Nothobranchius furzeri: one gene and its partners. The protein of the gene in region 1 purifies or fractionates together with the protein of each later gene. This does not show direct contact. Links are inferred from orthologs where the notes say so. Each region holds a gene or a part of one and is shown in the gene's direction. Other genes may lie near its edges.

Evidence for each region.
Region 2: the proteins of yap1 (region 1) and lin7c purify together in Homo sapiens (affinity purification with mass spectrometry; 5 studies listed by BioGRID and IntAct, with this or other methods). This does not show direct contact. The link is inferred for Nothobranchius furzeri from reciprocal best matches to the Homo sapiens genes YAP1 and LIN7C.
Region 3: the proteins of yap1 (region 1) and rpl18 purify together in Homo sapiens (affinity purification with mass spectrometry, with the first as the bait; 4 studies listed by BioGRID). This does not show direct contact. The link is inferred for Nothobranchius furzeri from reciprocal best matches to the Homo sapiens genes YAP1 and RPL18.
Region 4: the proteins of yap1 (region 1) and fbxw7 purify together in Homo sapiens (affinity purification with western blotting; 4 studies listed by BioGRID). This does not show direct contact. The link is inferred for Nothobranchius furzeri from reciprocal best matches to the Homo sapiens genes YAP1 and FBXW7.
Region 5: the proteins of yap1 (region 1) and rapgef2b purify together in Homo sapiens (affinity purification with mass spectrometry; 3 studies listed by BioGRID and IntAct, with this or other methods). This does not show direct contact. The link is inferred for Nothobranchius furzeri from reciprocal best matches to the Homo sapiens genes YAP1 and RAPGEF2.
Region 6: the proteins of yap1 (region 1) and ppp1caa purify together in Homo sapiens (affinity purification with mass spectrometry; 5 studies listed by BioGRID and IntAct, with this or other methods). This does not show direct contact. The link is inferred for Nothobranchius furzeri from reciprocal best matches to the Homo sapiens genes YAP1 and PPP1CA.
Region 7: the proteins of yap1 (region 1) and arrdc1b purify together in Homo sapiens (affinity purification with mass spectrometry; 3 studies listed by BioGRID and IntAct, counting the BioPlex papers as one, with this or other methods). This does not show direct contact. The link is inferred for Nothobranchius furzeri from reciprocal best matches to the Homo sapiens genes YAP1 and ARRDC1.

What each region holds. Positions count from the first base shown.
Region 1 is NC_091753.1:45,044,991-45,048,490, reverse strand, and holds part of yap1 (transcriptional coactivator YAP1), read left to right. Parts: intron 1-438; exon of another isoform or gene 439-589; coding exon of another isoform or gene 590-792; intron 793-1,393; coding exon 1,394-1,512; intron 1,513-2,018; coding exon 2,019-2,132; intron 2,133-3,500. UniProt on the Homo sapiens protein: Transcriptional regulator with dual roles as a coactivator and corepressor. Critical downstream regulatory target in the Hippo signaling pathway, crucial for organ size control and tumor suppression by restricting proliferation and promoting apoptosis.
Region 2 is NC_091749.1:64,462,198-64,466,322, forward strand, and holds the start of lin7c (protein lin-7 homolog C), read left to right. Parts: upstream 1-1,325; 5' UTR 1,326-1,485; coding exon 1,486-1,522; intron 1,523-3,247; coding exon 3,248-3,366; intron 3,367-3,456; coding exon 3,457-3,528; intron 3,529-3,621; coding exon 3,622-3,831; intron 3,832-4,125. UniProt on the Homo sapiens protein: Plays a role in establishing and maintaining the asymmetric distribution of channels and receptors at the plasma membrane of polarized cells.
Region 3 is NC_091745.1:76,499,324-76,503,309, forward strand, and holds the start of rpl18 (large ribosomal subunit protein eL18), read left to right. Parts: upstream 1-1,186; 5' UTR 1,187-1,199; intron 1,200-3,986.
Region 4 is NC_091747.1:80,718,727-80,721,841, reverse strand, and holds part of fbxw7 (F-box/WD repeat-containing protein 7), read left to right. Parts: coding exon 1-100; intron 101-440; coding exon 441-651; intron 652-3,115. UniProt on the Homo sapiens protein: Substrate recognition component of a SCF (SKP1-CUL1-F-box protein) E3 ubiquitin-protein ligase complex which mediates the ubiquitination and subsequent proteasomal degradation of target proteins.
Region 5 is NC_091741.1:75,547,956-75,552,041, reverse strand, and holds the start of rapgef2b (rap guanine nucleotide exchange factor 2), read left to right. Parts: upstream 1-1,286; 5' UTR 1,287-2,112; coding exon 2,113-2,181; intron 2,182-4,086. Other genes in the region: protein SPMIP2, read right to left, coding at 1-13, 604-664. UniProt on the Homo sapiens protein: Functions as a guanine nucleotide exchange factor (GEF), which activates Rap and Ras family of small GTPases by exchanging bound GDP for free GTP in a cAMP-dependent manner.
Region 6 is NC_091745.1:8,622,297-8,625,254, reverse strand, and holds the end of ppp1caa (protein phosphatase 1, catalytic subunit, alpha isozyme a), read left to right. Parts: intron 1-497; coding exon 498-728; intron 729-814; coding exon 815-919; intron 920-1,002; coding exon 1,003-1,226; intron 1,227-1,657; coding exon 1,658-1,792; intron 1,793-2,007; coding exon 2,008-2,124; 3' UTR 2,125-2,458; downstream 2,459-2,958. UniProt on the Homo sapiens protein: Protein phosphatase that associates with over 200 regulatory proteins to form highly specific holoenzymes which dephosphorylate hundreds of biological targets.
Region 7 is NC_091746.1:74,951,065-74,954,564, reverse strand, and holds part of arrdc1b (arrestin domain-containing protein 1b), read left to right. Parts: intron 1-409; coding exon 410-863; intron 864-1,983; coding exon 1,984-2,048; 3' UTR 2,049-3,500. UniProt on the Homo sapiens protein: Functions as an adapter recruiting ubiquitin-protein ligases to their specific substrates. Through an ubiquitination-dependent mechanism plays for instance a role in the incorporation of SLC11A2 into extracellular vesicles.

The sequences.
Region 1 (3,500 bases):
CATAACGCACAGACTTTTGATTATCGTTGCCTCTGTTTTGAACTTTGGGTTTGTTTATCTTTTTTTGACGAATTGGACAACACAAAGTTGGCGTCTAAACAACAGCATTTGGTAGAACGTGATGTTCTACTTTTTCTTTTTTTTTCCATCACTGTTGATTCCTGTTTGGTGTCCTGTATTGTGCTGGCCCTTTATTTTGAAGGTACCCTCTGATTTTCCACCCCCCCCCCCCCCCCCCAAATAACGCAAAAAGATCCCTTCTATCTCTAATAATTGTCAGGTCTTACAGAGGAATGAGGGGCAGAGGGTGACTGTAGCAGGGCCACAGAAACTCTTGTAGCTTGTGCAAATCTATAGAACTGGTTTTCCTTTTCTGTAGTCGTTCATTCTGCTCCACGTGACCTCGCTTTCTTGAAAGGCCACCTTCAGTTGGAGCCGATCCAGCCTTTTTTTTTTCTTGCGTGGTTTGTGGTGTTTTTGTGTGTGTGAGAGAGGGAGAGGGAGGAGTTGGTGGTTCTGGGGGAGGGTTTGGTAAGGGATTTGGCAGCTCCTTTGATCAATAAAGCATAAACAAGCGGGGGGCTTCAGAATGGGTTTCATTGTGTCAGGGGGAGGAGTGCTGAGTCAGGCCCACTCGCTCTCTGGCCTGGGATCGAGAGCAGACAGGCGGGCTGGGATTACCGAACGGGCCAAGGGAAACTTACTGAATCTCTCGCTTCATCCAGCTGTTCCAAAATCTGCTCTAATGGCATTTTGGGATCAAATTAACACCAAGCTGTTAAAAGAAACACAGTGAGTTTTTGTTGATCACTAAAGGGAATATTTCATGGCATAATAAATAAACTCTTTTGTCTCTTAAGTCTCTTTACTACAATTAAAAAGTGGCTTTGCGCAGACGAGCTGCTGGAGTTTGGTGCCTTTTAGGGAGAGATGGTGTGTGTGTGTGCGTGTGTGTGTGTTCTAAATAGGATGGTTAAAAAAAAGGGAATAGCTAGGTTTTAGGTCGTAGCTCAGTCTGCGCCTTTGTCAAGCAGGTGAAAGCTTTGTAAATGTGGCGCCAGATTGTTAAAGCCCCTGACACTCCGCAGTGTCCGAGCCGCTTCCAGGAAAAGGGACCCCCTGCGTTGAGCCCTGGGACTGACCCTCCCTCAATAGAGGGGGACCTGCCTGGGAGAGGAGGGCTTCCTGTATTAGCTTTCCATCTTAATCAAGAAACAAGTGCCAACAAAGCAGTAATTATCAATGCCTTGGGAGTGCACACAATGCCCCTACCCCACCCCTGCCCTGTCCCCTCTATGCGGAGATGGTCAGAAAAAAGATGAAGTAACATTGTTGGATGTGACCATAGATTAAGGTGTTTTAAAGTATATTTTGCCATCTGCTCTTGTTGCAGCCACATTGATAAAACGACCACTTGGCAGGATCCCCGCAAGCCCTTGCTCCAGATGAACCAGACTTCTCCTCCAAGTTCTGTTCCAGTCCCGCAGCAGACTCTCATGAACCCAACCAGTGGTATGTGCAAAAATCAGCTAGCTAGAATCGTGAAGTTTTTACTTAAATTTTGCTTTAATGGAGGAAAAACTCAGTCTAGTTCTTACTTGTCACTAATGTGCACAACTTGGAATTTGGAATTTGCCCCAGGTGAGGTAAGACCGAGGCAGGACGCGTCCTTCTGTTAGTTTGGAAGCTCTGTGACTCAGATCAGTTTAACAGATGACGTCATTCTCTTTGTCTCTAGTTGATACCGCTCAACCTGTTAGCTTGTTGGTAAATAATAAAAAAAAAAATCTCAGATGCTGACGAGCTTGTTTGTCAGGGACAGATAACGGTGATTCACTCAAAGACGATTAAATAAACCTGATTTAATCTCTGTTTGTGCACACATTTGATAACGCTGCTTCGTATTCTTCTCAATGTTCGTTGGTGTACTTTGTGAAACAATATCAGTAAAGAGAAATTCCTGCATTCAGCCAACTTCCAGTACTTGTTCAATGTTATTTTTCCCTGTTATCCCTCAGGACCCCTCCCTGAAGGCTGGGAACAAGCCATAACACCAGAGGGAGAAATTTACTACATCAACCACAAGAACAAAACCACATCCTGGCTTGACCCACGACTCGAGCCACGCTATGGTAAGCTGGCTGCAGACGGGAATCTTTTGGTTTCATCTCTTTTTATTTTTTATTTCTCAACTAAAGTAAAATACATCTGCTCCGTCTTCAGAAGAGGAACTTCTTACACAAAATCTGATGATTCTGAAGCTTTTATTAGACTCTTGCATACTACACCATCTGGTCCATTACCTTTTTTTATTAAGACAAGTGCAAATTTTCAATTGCTTAACCATGTAACCGTTACGTCTGTGACAGTGACTGAATGGCGAATTTTCCGTCATCTTTTGAGGAGAGCATCGGTGTGTTTTTCAGGACAAAAGATTAGACTTTTTTTTTCTTGGCAGCAAAGAATCACAACATTATAAATGACGCCGCACCTCCTTTTTACCATAATACCAGTTGGTAACTGTCAGTGTCTCCATCTATTGTTGTTATAGAGATGGATGGATGTCTAATGTGATCTTGCAATGCAGCTGCCACTGCCGCGGCATGCTGTTCATGCACCCGGTGGAACTCAGTCGCCTGTTCTTTATAGTCGTTCCCAGTGGTGATGCTAGGGGGCGCTATAGCTACCCCTGGATTAGTCATTGCACCCCCAAGTAAATATTAGATTATTTTTTTTACAATTTAATTTTAATTTAACGTGTGGATGTGATCATATTTAACATACAAAACAAAAATAATCAGTAAATTATCATATAGATAGTAAAAACTTCAACCAAAACAGGAAATTGATGTTAACCTTTGACCTCATTTTCCACCTGCGAACGAGTGAAAGGTAGAGCTAGTGGTAAAATGGATCGGTTTTTGTTGCCCACATTTCCACGGGTTCAGTCAGAAACGAATGAATGTTTGGAAGTGATCTCAGACCCACAAAAACCTACGGATCTGGATGGAGTCAACCCTCAACCGCCGCAGCAGTCGAGGGTTTTGCCGCTGGAAATGCTAACACTAACGTTAGCTAACCTTGCAACACTATAGATGGTTTTCTGTGTGGCTGTTTGTGTTTATGATTTCATGGAAAAGTCAGCGATTGTTCATATGTTTATGATGTTTATTAATGATTGTTTCAGGTGTTGTTGAGGTTTTGTGCACGCATGTGTATCTGCTAGTGTTGAAGGTGTTTTAGAGAACAATAGGTACGCACGACCACTTCCTTCATAGCACCCTCAATAAAAAGACTAGCTCCTTCATAGCATCTGCAGAAAAAAATTTCTGGAGGCACCACTGGTCGTTCCCCCTAACCTAGGCTTTCCACCGGTTGCGTAATGAAATGGCTGCATTGTCCACATGACCCCAGCCGTCCAATCATATCCCACTGGGAGCGTTTCAGATTCAAATCTGCAATGAAAGTGTTCCAACTGGACGAGGCCAGCCTGGTGAGCC
Region 2 (4,125 bases), on another chromosome or scaffold:
ACTAACGAGGACGCTGCAACTTTCTGAGATCTGCCGAACGAAGAAAAATAAACTCTGCCTTGATGGACCCACCAGTGACAGCAGTTGGAATTCTGTGAGGTATCTTTGTTTTGCTTTGTTTGAAGCACAATTTAAACTACTTAGACTCAAAGAGAGACGACAAGCATGCAGTAGATCCTTAAATGTGCTGCTGTCGTAAACATCAAACAACGGGCTTCTTTTCAAGGCCACAATGCAGCTGCAGGAAAAAAAACTGCCCTGCTCTTCAAAGAAATTCCACCTTAAGTTGGAGTTGAAGCCGTTTTGCCCTAGTCAAGTACTAACGTATCCTCTGCATAAAAAAATACAATGAATCAAACAGGGAAGCTTGCTCCATAAAGTATGTGCTCCAGTTTCTCTGAACAGAGACCTTGGGCCATTTTCGTTGCACTCTGCAAGCAAGAAGACGTCTAATTATAGATTTAATGTGAGCATCAAAAGAGCTTAGAGACAATACATGAATACTGTGGCATTTATTTGACCCAGGTTTGTCCCTGATGAATGAAAACAAGCAAATCAGAGCATCTGTTGTCCAATAAAGGAAATTACTGATGCAGCACAGTGTTGGAGATCCAGTCGTACGTCACAGCAGGGTTCCGTTTTTCACCACCAGCTTTTCAAGGTAAATTGTTTGTGTTTCATCACCAGCTGGGGTGGGGTCAGAAATGAATCATCCTGCAAAGTTTCAGCCCACAGAGAGCAGCTGTTTTCTGCTGATTTATGAACCAGAGCCTCTAGAAGAGCTGCAGCAAACCAGAGGAGGGCACTAAAGAGGCTGCTCCTCCCATCAGCTTTCCTGGATACCATCCAGAACATTCATTCAAGCTTCCTAACAAGGTTCCTGGTGTCCAGACACTGACAGGGTGCAATCTGATGAAGACTGGAAAAACTGAGTTTGATGAGCTGAAATTATTATTTGCTATTAAGAAAGTGAAAAATATCAATAAAAATGTTGCTTTGGTTACTCATCATCATCTCATTCATATTTCTATAAAGCTAAATCAAACCTAGAAACCTAATCTTGAACTAAAAGTATTCAGAATGACACTAAACTTCTAAAATGAAGTTTTCTGTTCCAGATTTAGTTACAGAAGTAACTGCTACAAAATTTGTGATTTTGTTGCTGCGTCTGATCTCTTAAAATTTCACATCAATACAAATAAACAAGATAAGAAATACGCAGAATTCAATCTGTCATTTATAATTACCTAAAAATGTCAACAGAATGCTTTGTCCACCGAGTAATCAGCTTTACTAGGGTCCCTGAACGCACCATGACACTGGCAGCTAGCCTAGCCGAGCTAACTTAGCTAATCTGATTTATCGTGCCAGTTAAGCGTACGAAACGGTCGGCTGGATTTACGAATTTAGTTTTTTTTTTTTTTTTTTTGTATATTTCTTGTATCGCAGTATCTATTTAATACCAGATAGCCTCTCATTTCGAGAATGGCATCTCTGGGGGAACCTGTGCGACTGGAAAGAGGTAATGTTAATTAGCTAGCTAGCTTTATTTGTTGTGAACGAGAGACGTTTACCCAGTTTAGCTCTAGTTGTTTGAATCAAACTGGGAGTTGTTTTTTGGTACATATTTTGACATTTGCTTGTCATAAATGTATATATCTGATATTGCCCGTAGAGCTGCGTTTTACTTGACCAAGCTAAACGAAGCATACCTTAGCGGTATTTGTTTAATTCGCTCACTAGCTAAGTAGCTAATAACAGCAGCGATTGACCAGCCCAGTCAGTATGTTGGGAAATAAATGCGAGGTATAATATTGTCATTAAAGCAGTAAAGGCACGTTTTGCTTCTCAGAAATTACACGTCGAACATGACGCAAATTGCATTTGTTAAAGTGAAATAAGCTGTAATTGTCACATCTGTGTAAAAACAAGTGAAAGTATCAGTCCGACTTTCATTGTGAGCCAGCTCTGGTCACAAACATCAAAGAAAAACTAAGAAATCTTTAATCGGAGCTTGTTTACTGAGTGCTTTTTGAAATCGATTTTAAATATATTTCTGAATTGAACTGGGAGCTCATGAAGAGATATTTGTAATGCAAACTTTATTTCTGCCAGTATCCTGCTACATATCTTAATTTTTTGATATTTTGAAAAATTGCAGGTTGTTTTTAATCACTTAGAAACCGTTGAAAGTAGGTGATGTGTATTTTAGCCTTAAATGTACTCGTCTCTAGTGGCTTTAAAAGTGTTCAAATGATCAAATCTGTTGTGGGAACTCGTTTCTCTTCCATTTATGCCGATTATCACTTGTTAGTCGCTTTGGACAAAAGCGTCTGCTAAATACATAAACAAACATTTAGTTAATAAATGTCAGGAATCTGATCATTTAACATCGGTCTGTGCCGCTCAATCGAGATGACTTTAAATGTGCATTATGTAGAAATTAAGTAAAAATGACATCCTTTGGTAAAATTTGGTTACGTCAACCACATTAAAAAACTCTGGAGCTTTTTGCCGGCCGTCGTCAAATTACAGTTGTCTGCGCTGCAGTGTTAGCTCGCAGGAGACACGACAACCCAACTCACTGATGGTAAACAATAACTATGTCCCTCCTTCCTTTGTTTTGAAAAAAGAAAAAAACTGATAATCCCTGCAGCCAGCTGGAAATGAAATATGTTTCAGTAGAACTTTCCTCGCAAAATGACCAAAACATGACTCATTTGGGATTTTCTCGCTGTAAAATTCTCACTATATTTCCACATACTGCACCTTTAATAATACATAATGAGTGTGATTGATAAACAAGTTTTGGCCTTCCTGTGCAGTAGGGGGTGCTGTTTATATTTTACAGTCATTTATTTCACATGTAATTTTTTACTGGTTGATATAAAAACCCTCTGAACTATTTAAAATTTTCTTAAAAATTTTTACCCAGCAGATGTTCTCTTTTTTTATTTTTCAACACCATTCAGGATTTTGAATCTGCTTCATTTCACTTATGCAGATCACTTCTTTCAGAACAAACCCAATGGAAGTCTTAGAATATTTAAAGACATGTCCAGTAAAAGACAAGAATATAAATCAAATAGTCCTTTTACGTAGATTTATCGAGCACCTTTTCTGCTTTTACTTTTAAGACTTGAGTGCTGGCATCAATACAGGCAAATTTAATGCTCATTTTAATCTTTTATAGTGGTTTGTTTTGGACTGTGTGTAAGCTGTGATGGCATTATGCTCTCTTTGATAGATATCAATCGTGCAATTGAGCTGCTTGATAAGCTGCAGAGAACAGGGGAAGTGCCTCCGCAGAAGCTGCAGGCGCTGCAGCGAGTCCTACAGAGTGAATTCTGTAACGCTGTCAGAGAGGTGAGACTCTTCATTCCAACTCTAAACTCCACAGATTTTTCTTCCTCCTTGTTATAAAGTTCTGTTCGTTTGGTGCTTTTTCCCCCTCAGGTTTATGAGCATGTGTATGAAACGGTAGACATCAACAGCAGTCCTGAGGTCAGAGCCAACGCCACAGCTAAAGTAAAGCTCATACACAAGAAATCTCCTCCGTCTCAAAACTACTTTATGCATCAATTGTTGTACATTTTTAAAGAGTTTGTTTTATTTTCAAAGGCTACTGTGGCAGCTTTTGCAGCAAGTGAAGGACACTCCCATCCTCGTGTTGTGGAACTGCCCAAGACAGAAGAAGGTCTGGGTTTCAATATAATGGGCGGAAAGGAGCAAAACTCGCCTATTTACATCTCGCGGATCATCCCAGGAGGCATCGCTGACCGACATGGAGGCCTGAAAAGAGGCGACCAGCTTCTCTCTGTTAATGGGGTGGTACGTGCAGCTCAGAGAATCATTATTAGGTCAAGAATTGTAAATTTGAATCTTAATATGAAGCACGTATCAGGTTTTAGAGCATGTTGCTTTTTTGGGGAGGGATAATCCATGCATCTTCAGAAATTTCTGCATACAGAAAAGCCCAAACGACTGACTTTTAGTGTTAGAAGTTTTTTTAATATTCTGGTTTTTAAAGGGCTACGTGTTCATAATCCTGTGATCACTCATAAGCAGGTATAAAGTCTGAGTCCGATTACATCTCCATTAGTTAGCTTGATGAGGAGGACGAGG
Region 3 (3,986 bases), on another chromosome or scaffold:
TCTCCGAAACTGGGCGAGGTAGACACTTTCGACAGATGACGTTTGATGCTGTTTTCTCTAAGTGACAACTCAGGTAGCTGCAAAACATCATTTCCATCCAGAACGCTTATTTTCTCTCTCTGAAAGAAATCTTCTGAGAATTCAATTCATGCATCCAAACTCGTATTTCCAATTTAGCTTCCATCCAGCCACAGGTTTGCTTTTAAAACAAGTTTAAAATCAAAGCTGTTAAAAATTGTCATTAAATTGTCATCCATGAATTGTCGTTCAAATCTTGAAGTTTAAAATTGTTAGTAATAAAATGTCTTCATTTTTAAACTTGCCTCAGTATTGATTTGAAACACAGAAGGGTATAATATTTCTGGTTATTGCAAAGGAAAGATTCCTAGCTTCTGATTCAAAATAAACTTTTGTTTCACATTTAATTATCTTAAATAAACATCAATCTTTGGATTAAAATTAGACTAAACAGGTTGGTGTATGAACTTAGATTGTATACGTATCCTGGATATTTATACACGATCTAAGCCTCATAGGTTCATCTGACTGGTCATTTTCAGAATCTCCAGCTGAAGAGCAACAGCGTTGGTTCTAGTATGTAGACTGATCACTACACATATTAATAGTCTCAGCAAGGTGGGCCACAAATTATTCCTGGGTGACATAATTAATCCGTGAAAAAGCCTTCCTAAAAGTATAAAAACACAGTTTTCTTTTACTCTGATTAATGAAACTTTCTTTAAGGTTGTGATAATGAGCCACTGCTGCTGGAGCGGTATCTATTTATAGCCACGCCACATGTGCTTCAGAGTAGACGGCTGAAGTTTACAGATAAACGCGGCTGTAACGTTAATACTGATTTCAGTGGTAAGTCCTGATCACAGTTTGACATAAAAATATAGAATTCTGCTTTAGTCTGTGGGACTAAAAGGATTTGCGGTTTACAGGAAACGCGGCTGTCAGCCTTTTCTGGTGGAGGCGTTTTAGTCAGTGGTCCTGTTTGAAGTCATTCTCCACACGTGCTGTTTTCCCAGATTTCTTCCTGGCTGATAAAAGCGGAGAGTCTCCAGAAGTGTGGCAGGACTTTGACCCGGTGAGAAGACCCCTGTCCCTCTGTTCCGCGTTCAGGAGAATTGTGCAGAAATGAATGTGTAGTTTTGGAATTTGAAAGGAAAGGCTAACGCTAGACACACTAAGAGGTGAGTTTTAACTTTTTTTTCTGTGCTATAGATATAATGTAGAAGATTTACGACAAATCTATCCGAGACAAATGGATTAACAACTTCAACATGTATTGATCACATTTATGCAAACTGTTCTGAAAAATGTTTTAACATTACAGGGAGTGCAGAACTATTAGGCAAGTTGTATTTTTGAGGAATAATTTTATTATTGAACAACAACCATGTTCTCAATGAACCCAAAAAACTCATTAATATCAAAGCTGAATGTTTTTGGAAGTAGTCTTTAGTTTGTTTTTAGTTTTAGCTATTTTAGGGGGATGTCTGTGTGTGCAGGTGACTATTACTGTGCATAATTATTAGGCAACTTAACAAAAAACAAATGTATACCCATTTCAATTATGTATTTTTACCAGTGAAACCAATTTAAACATCTCCACATTCCCAAATATACATTTCTGACATACAAAAACAAATCGGCAACCAATATAGCCACCTTTCTTTGCAAGGACACTCAAAAGCCTGCCATCCATGGATTCTGTCAGTGTTTTGATCTGTTCACCATCAACATTGCGTGCAGCAGCAACCACAGCCTCCCAGACACGGTTCAGAGAGGTGTACCGTTTTCCCTCCTTGTAAATCTCACATTTGATGATGGACCACAGGTTCTCAATGGGGTTCAGATCAGGTGAACAAGGAGGCCATGTCATTAGTTTTTCTTCTTTTATACCCTTTCTTGCCAGCCACGCTGTGGAGTACTTGGACGCGTGTGATGGAGCATTGTCCTGCATGAACATCATGTTTTTCTTGAAGATGCAGACTTCTTCCTGTACCACTGCTTGAAGAAGGGGTCTTCCAGAAACTGGCAGTAGGACTGGGAGTGGAGCTTGACTCCATCCTCAACCCGAAAAGGCCCCACAAGCTCATCTTTGATGATACCAGCCCAAACCAGTACTCCACCTCCACCTTGCTGGCGTCTGAGTCGGACTGGAGCTCTCTGCCCTTTACCAATCCAGCCACGGGCCCATCCATCTGGCCCATCAAGACTCACTCTCATTTCATCAGTCCATAAAACCTTAGAAAAATCAGTCTTGAGATATTTCTTGGCCCAGTCTTGACGTTTCAGCTTGTGTGTCTTGTTCAGTGGTGGTCGTCTTTCAGCCTTTCTTACCTTGGCCATGTCTCTGAGTATTGCACACCTTGTGGTTTTGGGCACTCCAGTGATGTTGCAGCTCTGAAATATGGCCAAACTGGTGGCAAGTGGCATCTTGGCAGCTGCACGCTTGACTTTTCTCACTTCATGGGCAGTTATTTTGCGCCTTGGTTTGTCCACACGCTTCTTGCGACCCTGTTGACTATTTTGAATGAAACGCTTGATTGTTCGATGACCACGCTTCAGAAGCTTTGCAATTTTAAGACTGCTGCATCCCTCTGCAAGATATCTCACTACTTTTGACTTTTCTGAGCCTGTCAAGTCCTTCTTTTGACCCATTTAGCCAAAGGAAAGGAAGTTGCCTAATAATTATGCACACCTGATATAGGGTGTTGATGTCATTAGACCACACCCCTTCTCATTACAGAGATGAACATCACCTAATATGCTTAATTGGTAGTAGGCTTTCGAGCCTATACAGCTTGGAGTAAGACAACATGCATGAAGAGGATGATGTGGACAAAATACTCATTTGCCTAATAATTCTGCACTCCCTGTACATCAGTCCTGTTGGTTTTAGTGATCGTAATGTTATTGCCCTGGTTTATAAAACAAAAATTCCAAGGGCGGCGCCAAAGGTAATTTGAAGAAAAATGTATAAATCTTTCTCTGAAGATGACTTTTTTAGAGGTGTGGCCAATATACAGTGGGCAGAGGTACTACAACACACATCCTGAGTTAGCTCTGGACAACTTCTACCAGTTATTTGCAGGAGTATGTGATGCACATGCGCCAATAAAAAAAAAGTATCTGTTAGACTTAAAAGATCCCCGTGGTTGGATGATGAAATACAGCAAAGTATGAGAATCAGAGATGAAAAGAAAAGGGTGGCTGTCACATCGGGAAGGCTGAGCGACTGGGAAGATTATCGGGTACTAAGGAATAGGGTAAGAGGTTAAATAGACAAAAGAAAAAACAATACTATCAAAAGGAATTTCAGAAATATAGTAAAAATGGCAAACAATTATGGAGGACAACAAACGAACTTATGGGTGGAAGTAAAACTGTCACGTTGAGGGTTGGAGGAGTAGGACCCAAAATGCAGATACCCAGAACGACGTGAGGCAGGGGTAGATGTAAACAAAAACATTCCTTTATTAGGAAGACGGGAAAAAAACCTAAATAAAATCCAAGGAGGCAAAATCCAATAAACCTGGAGACCTAGAGAACTGGAAAGGCACGAAGATGGGGCCAGGCTTCACAATGAGCTCACCCGAAACTCTGGCTGAATAGGACCCACACCCACCCTCACACCTTGGCTCGTGTGTTTATGTAGAAGATCGTCAGGGGGTCTTTTGTTCCCTCTTCGAGGGGAAACCCCCACTGGGTTTGAATCTGGGACTCTCCACCATTTGACCTTAGAACTGAAGAAGCCTCTCGGATGAGAGGTGAAACATCTTCAAGCAACTCAAAGAAGTCCAGACGCTTTTCTTTCAAAGCTCCTTAGACTACAATGACCTGGATGACTGAGAACCTTCACAGACACGAAGCCAAAACCTAGAGACCTAAGGAGGGGAGGGGAGGGGAGGGGAGGGGAGGGGAGGGGAGGGGAGGGGAGGCAACGTTTGACACGAAACAATGGACCCACAACA
Region 4 (3,115 bases), on another chromosome or scaffold:
CAGCGGTGCCTACGACTTCATGGTCAAAGTTTGGGATCCCGAAACGGAAACCTGCCTCCACACGCTGCAGGGCCACACCAACAGAGTGTACTCCTTACAGGTGAGCCGCCACTGAACCGGCAGTTCTGCTCAGGCTGAGTGGAAGTTGTTTTTTTTTTAGTTTAGGAGTAATTCTATAAAAGAGACAGCCTGCAGTGTGTCCTCTGACCAGGCACGTAGGTTAGAGAGAAGGCCGTTTGCAGCCTGATTGATTGTTTTTGTTCACCTGTTAGATGTTTAAAACGTGTTGTCTTACTGGAGGTGAAGGGACAAAAAGACGAGCCCCACAGATCAATAAAATGAATCCATTTCAATGACTTTAATCTGAAGTTTGTAAGTGGAAGTGCTGCTAACAGCTGCAAGCAACGGCCCCTCTTACAGCTGATCCTTTGTGTCTGCAGTTTGATGGGATTCATGTGGTGAGCGGCTCTCTGGATACGTCCATAAGGGTCTGGGACGTGGAGACGGGGAACTGCATCCACACTCTAACGGGACACCAGTCCCTCACCAGCGGCATGGAGCTGAAAGACAACATCCTCGTCTCAGGCAACGCGGACTCCACGGTCAAGATCTGGGACATCAAGACGGGCCAGTGCCTCCAAACCCTGCAAGGTGAGGTCCCTCTGTGTGCAGCCTCCGTTTGGAGTAATTTCCACTAGACGTGAAACGTATGAAGTTTATTAGCCGTGGGCGGGTGCCTGTCCACCGGCTGCACAGCATCATGGTTTGGACTCGTCCCGGAAGGACAGTGGCGCGTTGCCTATGTTTCAGTTTATTTTTTTACCCAATATGCTTCCAGAAAATGTTAAACTCAGCAGGTGTGATTGGGCCAGACAGGAAGTCAAACACGAAAGCAGTGTAAAACATCCAGAAACTTTCAAAATAAAAGTCACATTCAGACTTTCAGTTGCTTAGCTAGTAAAAAAAAATGTAATTTCCTGTGAAACCTCTGCAGCTGAAGTAAACACAAAAGACGATAAGCCACAGACCTTACTGGATGCATGCAGCCATCTTTCATCTTACCATGTGATTGTTGTGACCTTGTGGGACCTGCTGCGTGGAATAATTCCTCTCCTGATTTGTTTCTGAAAAGCTCCCAGTTGGAAGTTCGCTGACTGGTCCACGCCGCTCGTTTCTGGTAAAAACAAGGGTTAGTCTCTCTGAACTGATTAGCTAGCAGCTAGTCCATCGCAGCCAAAAACGTTTTTTTTCTATCATTTTAAAATGGCTCCACCCTCCTAATCCCAGACTTCCACCGGAAGCAGAAGCATGGTATAACGTCTGCAAAGCTTCGTAGGCAGCTATTAGCCACCATTATTGTTGATGGGTGTGTTTCCCCAGCCTCAGAAGTGTGTTTGATTACGTGGCTGGTCTGTTTTTTACCCGCTGCTCTTCCAGAACACACCAACCTCAGCAGCTCAGACTGGGCCAGACAGGAAATCAAACACGAGATGTGGAAAACATCCGGTAACTTTCAAAATAAAATGCATGTGCATATGCTTAACTAGTAAAAAAAAAACATTACGTGTGACACCTTCATGACCTAGGTAAACACGGCCGAAAACAAAACAGACGTTTCTGCTGCTGCCTTTCTCTTGACTTATCATTGTGCTACAAGCACGCGTGATCTTTGAAAAACAAATCTTATGCTACTCACTAAACTAGCCGTTAGCCCATCAGTCCTGTCAGACAAACTGTTTTTCCTACCAGGACGAAGGCCTCTAACGTGTGTAAGTTGGTATTATTTAAAAGGAAACACACTTTGAAAGATTATTCTGGGAGGATTTCAAAAACTTTAATAACAGCCGTTCTCGTCACCAACACAGGATGATGAATAAAGTTTCTATCAAACCATTTCAGCACGTTCACATTATTACTGTAGTGGCTAACCCTAGCGTGTCATTCTGTCAACATGGATAAAAACGAGGTTTGTGAAACAAACAGAAAAAACACAGAAATACGGATTTTCTGTGTTTGACCTCGTTAGCCTGCTTCCTTGTGTTTAGTCACAAACGTGTGTTCATCATCTCCACCGCCTCTTTTCTGCAGAGGAGCAGCTGCAGTCAGAAACTGACGTTTTCTCCCTGATAAAACAGGTCATTTGCTAAATGAACACCCTAGTCATACATGTCTCTTCTTGTTCATCATGAGTGACGCTGGGCGTGATGCACCCTCATCACGCTTCGGCGTTGGGCCGGAGTCCCGAGCCGTCATCTGGGTTTGTTTGTGTCGTTTAGTAGAACTGAGCCAACACCTCCGCAGCTTCCCTGGTCTGCTTGGAGCCTCATTTCTTTGTGTCTGTTTGAATAGTTGGATCTTCATTACAAGTACTTAGTTTCACAGGAAGTAGGAAGTTCTTTGTTCTATAGAAGTTGCAGCCGCTGGTGCCCCATCCCCAAATACCCTCATTAGCAACCTACAATCCTGTAAGCTGGTTCTTCAAACACCAACGCGCAGCAGAGGATGCCCCAGCGACAGCCTGAAGAGAGCACCATGGATGAGGCGGGGAGGAGGAGGAATGTCAGTGTCGACGACGAGGTCGAGCTGTGAAATGACCCGGGGAACTTTGTAGGTCATATAATTAGGTCAGCGGACGATTTCTGCCACTCATTAGAGCGTTTTGTAAGACAGCAGCGTGACAACAAGGCCGTCGCCGCGATCAGACGAGAGCGGAGGTAGAGATGGAGCTTTGTTTTGAGCCGAGGCTGTTGGGGGTTGGTGCACAGAAGCACGGAGCACTCATCCAGTCAGCAGCAGCAAGGCGACCTTTCAACCTTCCTTCCTGTCTTTTTAAACCAAGAAGACACTGAACCGGTTTTTCTGTTTTCTTGTTTGTATGTAGCGTTAGCTTCGTAATTGCCTACATGTTTACAGGCTGAGACAGTAACAGCTCATCGTACCTGACGTAGGCGGAGCCTTTAGATCCCTGAGACAGCCGCAGCATCAAGCCTGTCTAGAGTCAGGAGACTGTTTAGTTCTCGGCTGAGTTTTTCTGTTCTGCTCTTAAATAAATGCTTCCTACAGCTGCTGGTTTAAGAATCCTTCATAAATCCAGTAGTCAACCAAAACAAGTCAT
Region 5 (4,086 bases), on another chromosome or scaffold:
ACTCCATCTGGACCTGGATGGATGTTTTAAAAAGGTATAACAACCTGAATAACCTATACCTAAATTAAACCTAGAGTGCACAATTAAAAATAATAAATAATGAAAGTAAAGTCATTAGTTACAAATGAAATTCACAACTGTGTTTCACTGATTTAAACGATCTTTTAATGATTATCTGCAGGCTACATGGACATTTTAATTTGGATTTAGATGGTGTCAGCAGGTGGTGTCAGTAAGCATCATACCGAGTGTTACTGCTGGTATCCTGGATGAAATCTTAAACCAGTGGCTGTTTCACCTTTCAGTCAGTTCCTACATTTAGACTCAGTCCCAAAATATGTTTCACTAGAATGACCCTTAAGGTACAAACCTGGATTTTCTCACATTATTTCATTTTACATTATGAGAATAATAATAAATAAATTTATTTTTTTTCCTATTTTTAATTCAGTTTAAATTATTTAGGCATAGTTGAACACAAAACACAATATTATCATTTTAGAGGTAAATAAAAAAAACAATTAATTTGAAATATTGAAAGCAACTTGCTATGAATGTTTGGAATATTCTGAGGTAGACCAAACACATTTTATGTGAACTTACCTGTAAAAATCATCCTTTGTCCATACTGCGACCTCTCTTGAGCTGTTTTAGTGTTTTGCATTGTTTTTACTCTATTCCAACTGAATTATTCCAGGTTAGAAACAAAATTCTGGCCCCTTACCGACTTACAACAGGAATCCATCTGATTGTTCTGCCGATGGGGTCATGCCTGGTTGTATAACAACCACCTGTTGCCATGGGAACACTAGACCAAGTTACATTGTTTTAATAAGAAATACTTCACATGCTGAACCATCACCAGTATTTTGTCTTCACAAAATATGTAATTATCTAAAATAATATCTAATGAGAAATGACTTTATTTCATTCATTTTCTCATTTATATAATTTGTGCATTTTTTGAGACTCCTCAGGGCAAACCCGCTGCCTTTGCTTTCATTGAGATAAACAGTTACCTATTTAGTCGCTTGGTGGCACCATAGACTGTACATATACCAAAGCATAATGTATGCCACACGACAGCTCTTCGTTCTTTGTCGGATGGACTCGTCCAGTATGAGCCTCCTATGACTACATCTTTGTCAAGTTAAAAAAATATCACAACAGGAAGTGCAACCGCTTCACCACCAGACAAAAAGAATTTCGACATATGGTACAAAACAAGCGTGCTCAAATATTCTTGTACTCAGCTAATTGAATGTTTTTCTTTTTTTTTTGTCTTTTACCGTAATATGAAAAACAAGGTATTAGTCACATTTTTTACACCGTTATGCTCTTTCTCTGCATGAGAACCTATGAAATGATCTGATAATAACGTGGGGAGGGGACGATTTTAAGCCACACAACATGCCTCCTGTCTTTTATTTTGAAACGTTGCACAGGAAGTGCTGTTGCTACTTTGTTCCGATTTGGTAATGATGTCTGTCACCATGGTGGTGGCTTACAACAGAACACGGCAACGGCGGTCAATGTATCCCCACTTTTAGGTTAATTGAAGCGTCAGTATTATGAGTTTTATCACTGTGTTGAATATAACATTTATTTTTACCACGGACGCCATGTTGTTGTTGACGGGATAGCTTTTAGCCTTTAGCTTACTTTTTGTTTTTGCCGGATCCTTTATGGAATTTCTTTCCGTCGCTAGCAGAATGCTGAAGAGAAAAGGAACGGCTTTACCTAGCGCTGGCTTGGATAAAGAGACGCCAGCTTTGTACGGTTAGAAAAACAACTCAAAGGAGCAGTCAGAGCCTCGCGTCTAAAGGAAGTTTTCTCGCCCAGCTGGACTGATTTTGGAAGCCGTTTTTTGGTTCGGGACAGTGAAGGGACGGACACTCCCGAGGAGCCTGCTTGGGCTCTGGCTCCAGTCGTGGCCTGGCTCCGGGCACTCCCAGCTTCATCCTCGAGCTCCGGAGCACAGCCGACAAGAGTAGAGAAAGCCCCAAAAGTGGGCTTGTTTGTGCATAAATCCACCTCTGTTTTTCTGTAAACGTTTTTTTTTTCCCCAAGGATAAGGAACTGAGTATATCTCTTTCGGCGTCTTTCAAAACAATGGCGTCTTATGTGGATAACCGCTTTCGGCAGGCTGTAATGATGAATCCGGCTGAAAGGACGCAACAGGTCAGTACAATGATGTATTTCTATTTGTTACTGATGCAATCGGTGCTTAGAAGTACTTGTTCCTGCTGTGTTAGTCAGTCTGTTGCTACAATGCAAACATTCGGGATACTTCACCGCTCTGATCAGCAACAGTTTAACTATTTATGTGTGCAACTGTTGCCAGGTTCCTGTTAACGTACGGAAACGTCCCGTAAAAAAATAGTTCATCATATGAGATAATCGTGGCTACTTAGCATAACAGGAGCTGCAACCATCATGGGAGCCTCGCCAGACGGACCTGTACGGTTTTTACATGGCTGCATCTCTGGAACTTTGGGGCCCCCTCCTTTTACATAACGGTGTCTAATAATAAACGAAAAGAAAGATTTCTTGGGAGCAGTCATTGATGCTGGTCCGAACGTTACAGATCCTGATTAAAACAGACGTCAGCGCACAAACCTGAATGTGTGGCAATTACAAATGAGCAGAAAAACCCAACTTCTTTGTTGCATTCTGCAGCTAAAACAGTTTGCTGCTCTCCGATTCCGCTGTGCAACTCCCCTTTTCAGTCCCTTGCTAATTCTGTGGGCTGCTGCTTTTAGTCGTTATGCAACAAATTGTATTTCTCAAAATATGCTCGTTTCTGGTTTGCATCTTTGGTTAAGCAATTTGTAAAAATGACATCCTTTCTTTTCAGCCTAGTTCCTGCTGCAAATGGATGTTGCTTCAGCAAAAGCTTTACATTAGACAACAGAATATACCCATAAACCTGTGGGCTACAGCTAGATGCAAAAATCGTGCACGTTTGACAGTTATGCTTGTCAACAGCTTTTATTCTGGCTACAACTCTGTCATAATTGAGGAAAAAAGTCATAAAGAGGTTCATGAATTTGTAATTTTTTAATTGATTGTGATACCATTACAAATAGAAATATATTTTTCCCGAATGAAAAATTAATTGTTTATTGTTCTAACATACAAACTGAGTTATATTGTTTTTGCACCCTATCTATATTGATTTAGCTTTCATTACTAAGGCAGGCTTTGGTGCATTAACATCTTAATTTGTCAAAAAGATATGAGAAGTTTTTGAAATTTCTCAGCTTGAACAATTTTAAGTTTATAACATATCAAAACTGATATTTTGTAACATTTAATGAATGAAACTTCAAAGCAAAAAATAAATAAGAATTAAATTGACAAATAAACAAAAAAAAAAACTAGCACCAAAAGTACAGCTTTTACAGTAAGCAACATATTTAGTCTGCAACTGTCATGGTATTGTAACTGATGTGACTGAATCACTATATTGGTATTTGGTTGTAATTTTCATTGACAACATAGTGTGCTATTCATGTGTGGAGTGACTGCAGGGACTCAAACAGATTTACCCTAATGGTGTTGGCAGGACCTCTCTGTCAGGATTAGTTAACAGACTCAAGGATCCGTCTTTATCTCAGGACTCGCCACAGTGAGGCTTGACCCTCTGCATCATGCTGTTGTCACATGGCAGGTTAAATAATTGACCACTTGACAGTTTGTGTTTTCACTGTCTATCAGTTTCCTTTGTGCAATTTTAGATTGTAAGTAGATGTTTTAGTCATACCAATGAGGCAGGATCACAAAACAGAAATAGGAGAATTACAAGCAAAGCCCTGCTGCACTTTATGTTTGCAATGGTGATATAGATCAAGATAACATGGCAGTTTGATAACTTTTTTCATGTGCAGCATTAATTAATTTTTGCACAAATTAAAGCTTTCTGTCCAATGAAGGAGTCAGATTTAGACATATGGTCAGGCTCTCAGTGGTGCGTTTTTGTCGTCTTGATTAGTCAAAGTACCTTCCATTAATACTACGCTCTTTACTTATTAAAAATAAGAAGTGCATGCTTTGCTCAGCAGGATGGACCGTTGCTGTCTGCTG
Region 6 (2,958 bases), on another chromosome or scaffold:
TCCTGGGTTTACACAATGGCTGCCTTTTGTTTGGGTTTCAGCATATTACACATCCTACCATTTGTCATAGTATTTGTCACCTAAAGTCCTCTGGAGCAACTCGAAGCCCAAACTCTGCTTGATCAGACAACCACAATGTAGGTTATCACACCCAAAGTTCACAGCTAATCTGGCGACAAGGACAAGTTCGTCTTGCACAACACGTCCATTAATGACCTTATTATTAAAGCTTTAAAATAGTTTTATTGTGTGAACTTCATCAGCTTTTCTTTTCATAATTGTCTAAATAGCAAGTCGATCAATTACAATACAAAAACCAAAAGAATATTTTAGGGAGATTATATCACTAAGACTCTAAATTATCTTTTTCTATTAATAAAAGGAATGAGAGTTTCAGAATTGGTACGGTCCACTTAAAGGCTGGCTAGTTAAAAATAGGATTCTTCCTCATAAATGACAGTAACGCTGACATGGTGTTTCTTTGCTGCCCCCTGCAGGTGATGTCCATGGTCAGTACTATGATCTCCTCCGGCTCTTTGAATACGGAGGCTTCCCTCCTGAAAGCAACTACCTGTTCCTGGGGGACTACGTGGACAGAGGGAAGCAGTCCCTGGAGACCATCTGTCTGCTTCTAGCTTATAAGATCAAATACCCAGAGAACTTTTTCCTGCTGCGTGGCAATCACGAGTGCGCCTCTATTAATCGAATCTATGGTTTTTATGATGAGTGTAAGTGCAAAAGATGTCTGTGAATAATGAACAAGTCAGAGTTGGTTGTACAAATGCTGCAAATGTTTCTTTTTCTTTGCTGGTAGGTAAGCGACGGTATAACATAAAGCTGTGGAAGACCTTCACAGACTGCTTCAACTGTTTACCTGTGGCTGCCATTGTAGATGAGAAAATCTTCTGCTGTCACGGAGGTAGAGCTAGTGAACGTGTGCTTTACGGATGATGAAATATGAACGACTAACAAAACCTGATGTTCTCTCTGCGTCGTCTTTAGGCCTCTCTCCGGACCTCCAGTCCATGGAGCAGATCCGCAGAGTAATGCGACCCACAGACGTGCCTGACCAGGGTTTGTTGTGTGACCTGCTGTGGGCAGATCCAGACAAAGACGTCCTGGGTTGGGGCGAAAACGACCGTGGCGTCTCCTTCACATTCGGAGCAGATGTGGTGGCCAAATTTTTGCACAAACATGACATGGACCTAATATGCAGGGCGCACCAGGTGATGTTTGAGTGGTTTTGTGTAACTCGCCAGGAAAGCTCTGCTCCTGTTAACTTTGATCTCTGCTTGTTGTGGGGGTGTTATTGGGACATGAGTCAACACGCTGTGATATTGCGTCATCTATGTAAATTTAATCCTTTGAGGACTCTAGTGGCTTCTTCATTCTTCTAGCACTGATTCATTCGGACTTGAGTCACTTTTATGTTCCTCGTGTTTTTACTGGGATGCACCCTTCACAGGGGCACACAAAGGTTACGTACGGTAGTTCCTAATTTAGCTCAAGTACAACTGTAATGTAAGAACTGCAACTCAAACATTTCACAAACGTGTCGGGGAGGAAAATCTTTTTCCCTGATTATGTTTAATCGTTCTCACCTGGACCTGAGAAACCCTACTAGTCTTTGTTCTGACACTTTTATTTCTGTGCTAAGGTCGTGGAAGATGGTTATGAGTTTTTCGCAAAGAGGCAACTCGTCACTCTGTTCTCAGCGCCCAACTACTGTGGAGAGTTTGACAATGCTGGTGCCATGATGAGTGTGGACGAGACGCTCATGTGCTCCTTTCAGGTGGGTAAACACACGGCCTGTTTGTTACTGCTCCATGTAGCTTAGCTGAGTGATCTTCGTATCATTTGTGTGTGTGTGTGTGTGTGTGTTTCCTAGCTCCTTGTCAAACGGATGTTTAACATATTGAACTTGACAAATATTCAAATTGGGACTTTAAATTAGAAGAAATTGTGTTTGCCATTTTAATGTGGATCATTCCTTCATCTGTCTTGCAGATTCTGAAGCCAGCAGATAAGAAATTGTATTCTTTCGGAGGAGGAGGAGGAGTGGGATTAGGAAGACCGGTCACTCCTCCAAGAAATTCAGCCAAGGCCGCTAAGGCCAAGAAATAACACCTGCTGAGTTCCCTTCCTACAACCTTTTCACCCTCTGTTGGCCCAACTTTCTTTTTCTTTTTCTACCTCCTAATCTTGTTTCTCTTAGTTACCGAATGGCAACAAAGACGACCAGTGTCCAATGTTCATTCGTGTGTTATATATATTTTGTTTGTTTCTAAAACAAAGTTCAAACGTTTATCTGGTTATTTACGTGTGTGTGTGAGAGGGAGATGTGAGAACGACACAAAGGGAGTTGCTGTATTCTGTACGTTTTATTTCCCTTCCTCTTGGTCTTTCTGTTGGTTGCAGAGACGGGTTTGTCCCACTCATCATGTAAATCCTAGCCTGGCTGCAGGGGTGGGAGAGCACAGCGCTGACTGATTATGTTAAGGCCAGGCACTGTTCAGCATTACTTTCATGCTTTTGTAAATCATGTTTCACGTATTCATTTATGTCTTTGATGGGTGTGTGTGTGTGTGTGTGTGTGTGGGGAGATCATAGATCAGGTTGCACAGCTGGAAGGTAACGGCACAGGTGGATCTATAGAAGTGCAGGTTAATGCTCGAGTTTGATGAATTCACAATAAGATGACTTATTTTTTTTTCCTTCTTCCAACTTGAAAATCGTTTGAGATGACATGGATGTGATGTAGAGTTGCTCTTTTCTTCAACCTAATTTTTGTTTTATTTTTGTAGATAACTGAAATGAGTATGGTTTTATTTTCCTCTTTCTTTTTTTTAGTTTATTTGAAGCTGAAGATGAATAAAAAGTAACCATTTATTTGAATACGCCATCATGCTTATCACTTTGTTATATCTGTCGCTCAGTGGTTGGTTTCTGTTGTGGTTT
Region 7 (3,500 bases), on another chromosome or scaffold:
AACAGCAGAGAACGTCTCAGCTAGTAGAAGCTAACATTAGTTTTAGCAACTCCACCACACAGCAGAACTCCTCCAGGCTTGTTTGTGGAGGTAAAACATCAACGATGCAGAGCAGAGTCAGTGGTAGACATGTGCTGATGTTAGCCAATCAGAGGAGAGGTGTCCAAATATCAGGAAATAAGACTCTTATACTTTCTCCTCCAGCTGACTTCTCTGTACCACACACACACACACACACACACACACACACACACACACACACACACGCGCACACAGCAGATCTATTAAAAATATGAGTGAAGGGCATTTCCAAAGTTTATATGTTCTAAACAAAATGTGACTTTTCTACCACTTGCTAAAAAATTCTGGTGAATCTTTCTTTCTTCACGAGTCTCTGTTTATTTTCCAGGTGTCTCTAAAATCTCCGGAAGCAGCCGTCACTCTGCCCATCGTCATCGGGAACATCCCTTTGAACTTGTCCCCCTCCGTGCCTGTCCCCACCAGTCCAGGGCCCTCACTGGTACCCGGCCCTGCAGCGGCGACACCGAGTGCTCCGCCAGTGGAGGACGGCCCAGAAGACGAACTGTGCGCGGGGGGGTTTGCTAACGAAGAGATCCCCACCAAAAGTCACTCCCAGCAGGACCCGCTGATGCAGCCGGTCACCATGTCTCCCAGCGCCTTCAGCCACGCGCCGGGAGCAGCGCTGCCGCCCGGCCACAGGCGACCCGAAACTTCCGCTCCGTTGTTCTGCCTGTCCACAGGAGCGACGATACCTTTCTTCACGGAGGGAAATGTGACTCCAATCCCCACCTCCTGTTCTCTCATTCTCCCTCCAGAATACAGCTGCTGTGACTATCCCCAAGGTAAGAAAACCCAACAAGCCTCTGCTCAAAGAGGTACTGGCAGTTTCCCCCAGAAAACGAGTTAAGCCCGGCGGATTCGGCCGTCGTCGGGGGCGGTCACGTCACGCGCTCCGTCCCACAGCGCTCCTCCGTTAGAGCGGGGGTGAGGTGGTTGCACACGTTCCGCTCTTGTTTCTCACCAGTATCAGCTGATGGAGGGCTCTAGTTTCGATGCGCCGTTGGTGTCAGCGGACACGGTAGGGTCGGGGAGGGGGGCGGGGCATGACGTTTAGCCTGGCGGGTGGCCAAGCAAAGCCTGACTGGGTTAGTAAAATCTAAACTTCAGGGTGTTTAGGATCAAATCTCTTCAAATATTTATCTCCTTTGGTGTGTTAAAGCTCAGTTTCCCTCCGCTTACCGTCAGCAGCTGCTTTAAGCGTCAGTCCACCTAAGTGGTCAAACGCGTTTCACGCTCATTCAACGTTTTATTCAAATCTGTAAACTAATCTGAGAATTTAATCCTGATGCCTGTGCTGTCGACCTGTTGGGAGGCGAAGAGGAAGCAGCCTCTTTGTGTGTGTGTGTGTGTGTGTGTGTGTGTGTGTGTGTGTGTGTGTGTGTGTGTGTGTGTGTGTGTGTGTGTGTGTGTGTGTGTGTGTGTGTGTGTGTGTGTGTGTGTGTGTGTGTTTGTGTGTGTAAACAAGCTAACTAACACACTCAGAGAAACAAACCGTTTTTATTTCCTACATTATCACAACAACAGTTACATTACAGGTAGAGGCTCTGTAGGAGCGTTAGCGGTGGTTGTCATGGTGATATAATTCATGAAGGATCTGAATGCGTCGACGGTCGTAGCATCGTTATGTTCTGTCTAACACAGGAACAGAGAGTGTGTTTCCGCCCGGACCGTTTTAGATGTGACACCGATGGCTTTAGCGTGTTTTCCTGATTCCTGCTGCTGCTCGCCTTCCCGGCCAGTTTCAGAAACCGGATTTTAATAGAAATGTAAGTCAGATTAAAGGGATGTGAAGTTTGATGTTTAGAAACAGCTTTTCACCAGGTAGCCAAACAGGCGCACACACCTCTACGTCCAAAACCACGTCAGTAATGTTGTTGACATCACGTCCTTCTGTTGTTGCAGAGCCGCCTCCCACCTACGAGGAGAGCTGCAGTAGTGTGAACTCCAGTTTTACTGCTGGACAGTAGAAGAAGCAGGCGGTCGACCATCGTGGCCACGAACACCCTCACATCTGCCTGCCCCCCCTCCACAAACTAGATCCGGATGCTGGATGGAGGAGGACGGATGACGACTCCACCCTGCGAGCGGCGTAAAGCTCTTCTCTGATGAATAAAGGGATTTTTCTTATTTGAATAGGTTAGGTTTCACCTGGCTAGCGTCAGACGTGTGGCCAACATCACTGTGCCTACTGTGGGTCCTCGCTCAGCGCTTAGGGATGTGTAGGAGGTTGCTGGATGTTTGTTTGGTTTCATTTAGCAGCTCGTTGCATCTGTGAGGCCTTTAGATAAAAATCTAGCCACTGATTAATGTAGAAGACACCTTTATTTACCTGATTCACCTGTTGGTCTGGGGTCCTCACGCTAGGTGGACATGCAGCTACAGGTGCTGATTCTTCTGCCCAGCTGGAGTCATGTGACCTGTCCAATAGCAGGATGATGCAGAAAGTATCCGGTCGAACCGGAAAAGGAGCCTGAATCTTCTGGTCTGGAAGAGGATTCAGTGGTTGTGACATGGTGGTCTTTAAAATCAGGAGTTGCTGGTAAAATGCTCTAAACCGTTAAGCGTTTTGTGATTCTTTTCTGTCCCAGCAGTCAGACTTTTTATGCATCAACCGTTATCCGTTTTTTAAATAATAGTTTTCCATGAGCTTTGGCTGTTTTTCACTCGTTTTCAGCCCGGACCTGACAACGTTCCAGCACAAGTTTGTCTTTTTATCTGTAAGGATTGTTTTTGTCTAAGGAAACAAGTCGCTCCAGTTTCTTAGTCGTATTCATGAGAAGTACCATCAATATCGCAGTCAGACAGAAAATAGGATTTTAGCTTCAGTGAGGTTATTTTTGGCAAGGCAACTTTATTTATACAGTATAGCACATTTCACACACAAAGGCTTTTCAATCGGAGCAAGAATATTCAAATTCACACGACAGAAAATCCATCCATCCATTTTCATCCGCTTATCCGGAGTCGGGTTGCGGGGGCAGCAGACTAAGTCGAGAGGCCCAGACTTCCCTCTCCCCAGCCACTCGGGCCAGCTCCTCCGGGGGAATCCCAAGGCGTTCCCTGGCCAGGTGAGAGACATAGTCCCTCCACCGTGTCCTGGGTCTACCTTTAGGCCTCCTCCCGGTTGGACGTGTCTGGAAAACCTCACCAGGGAGGCATACTGACCAGATGCCTGAGCCACCTCAACTGGCTCCTCTCGATGTGGAGGAGCAGCGGGTCTACTCCGAGCCCCTCCCAGATGACGGAGCTTCTCACCCTATCTCTTAAGGGAGAGCCCAGCCACCCTGTGGAGAAAACTCATTTTGGCCACTTGTATCCGTGATCTCGTTCTTTCGGTCACTACCCAAAGCTCATGACCATAGGTGAGGGTAGGAACGTAGATCCACCGGTAAATCGAGAGCTTCACCTTCTGACTCAGC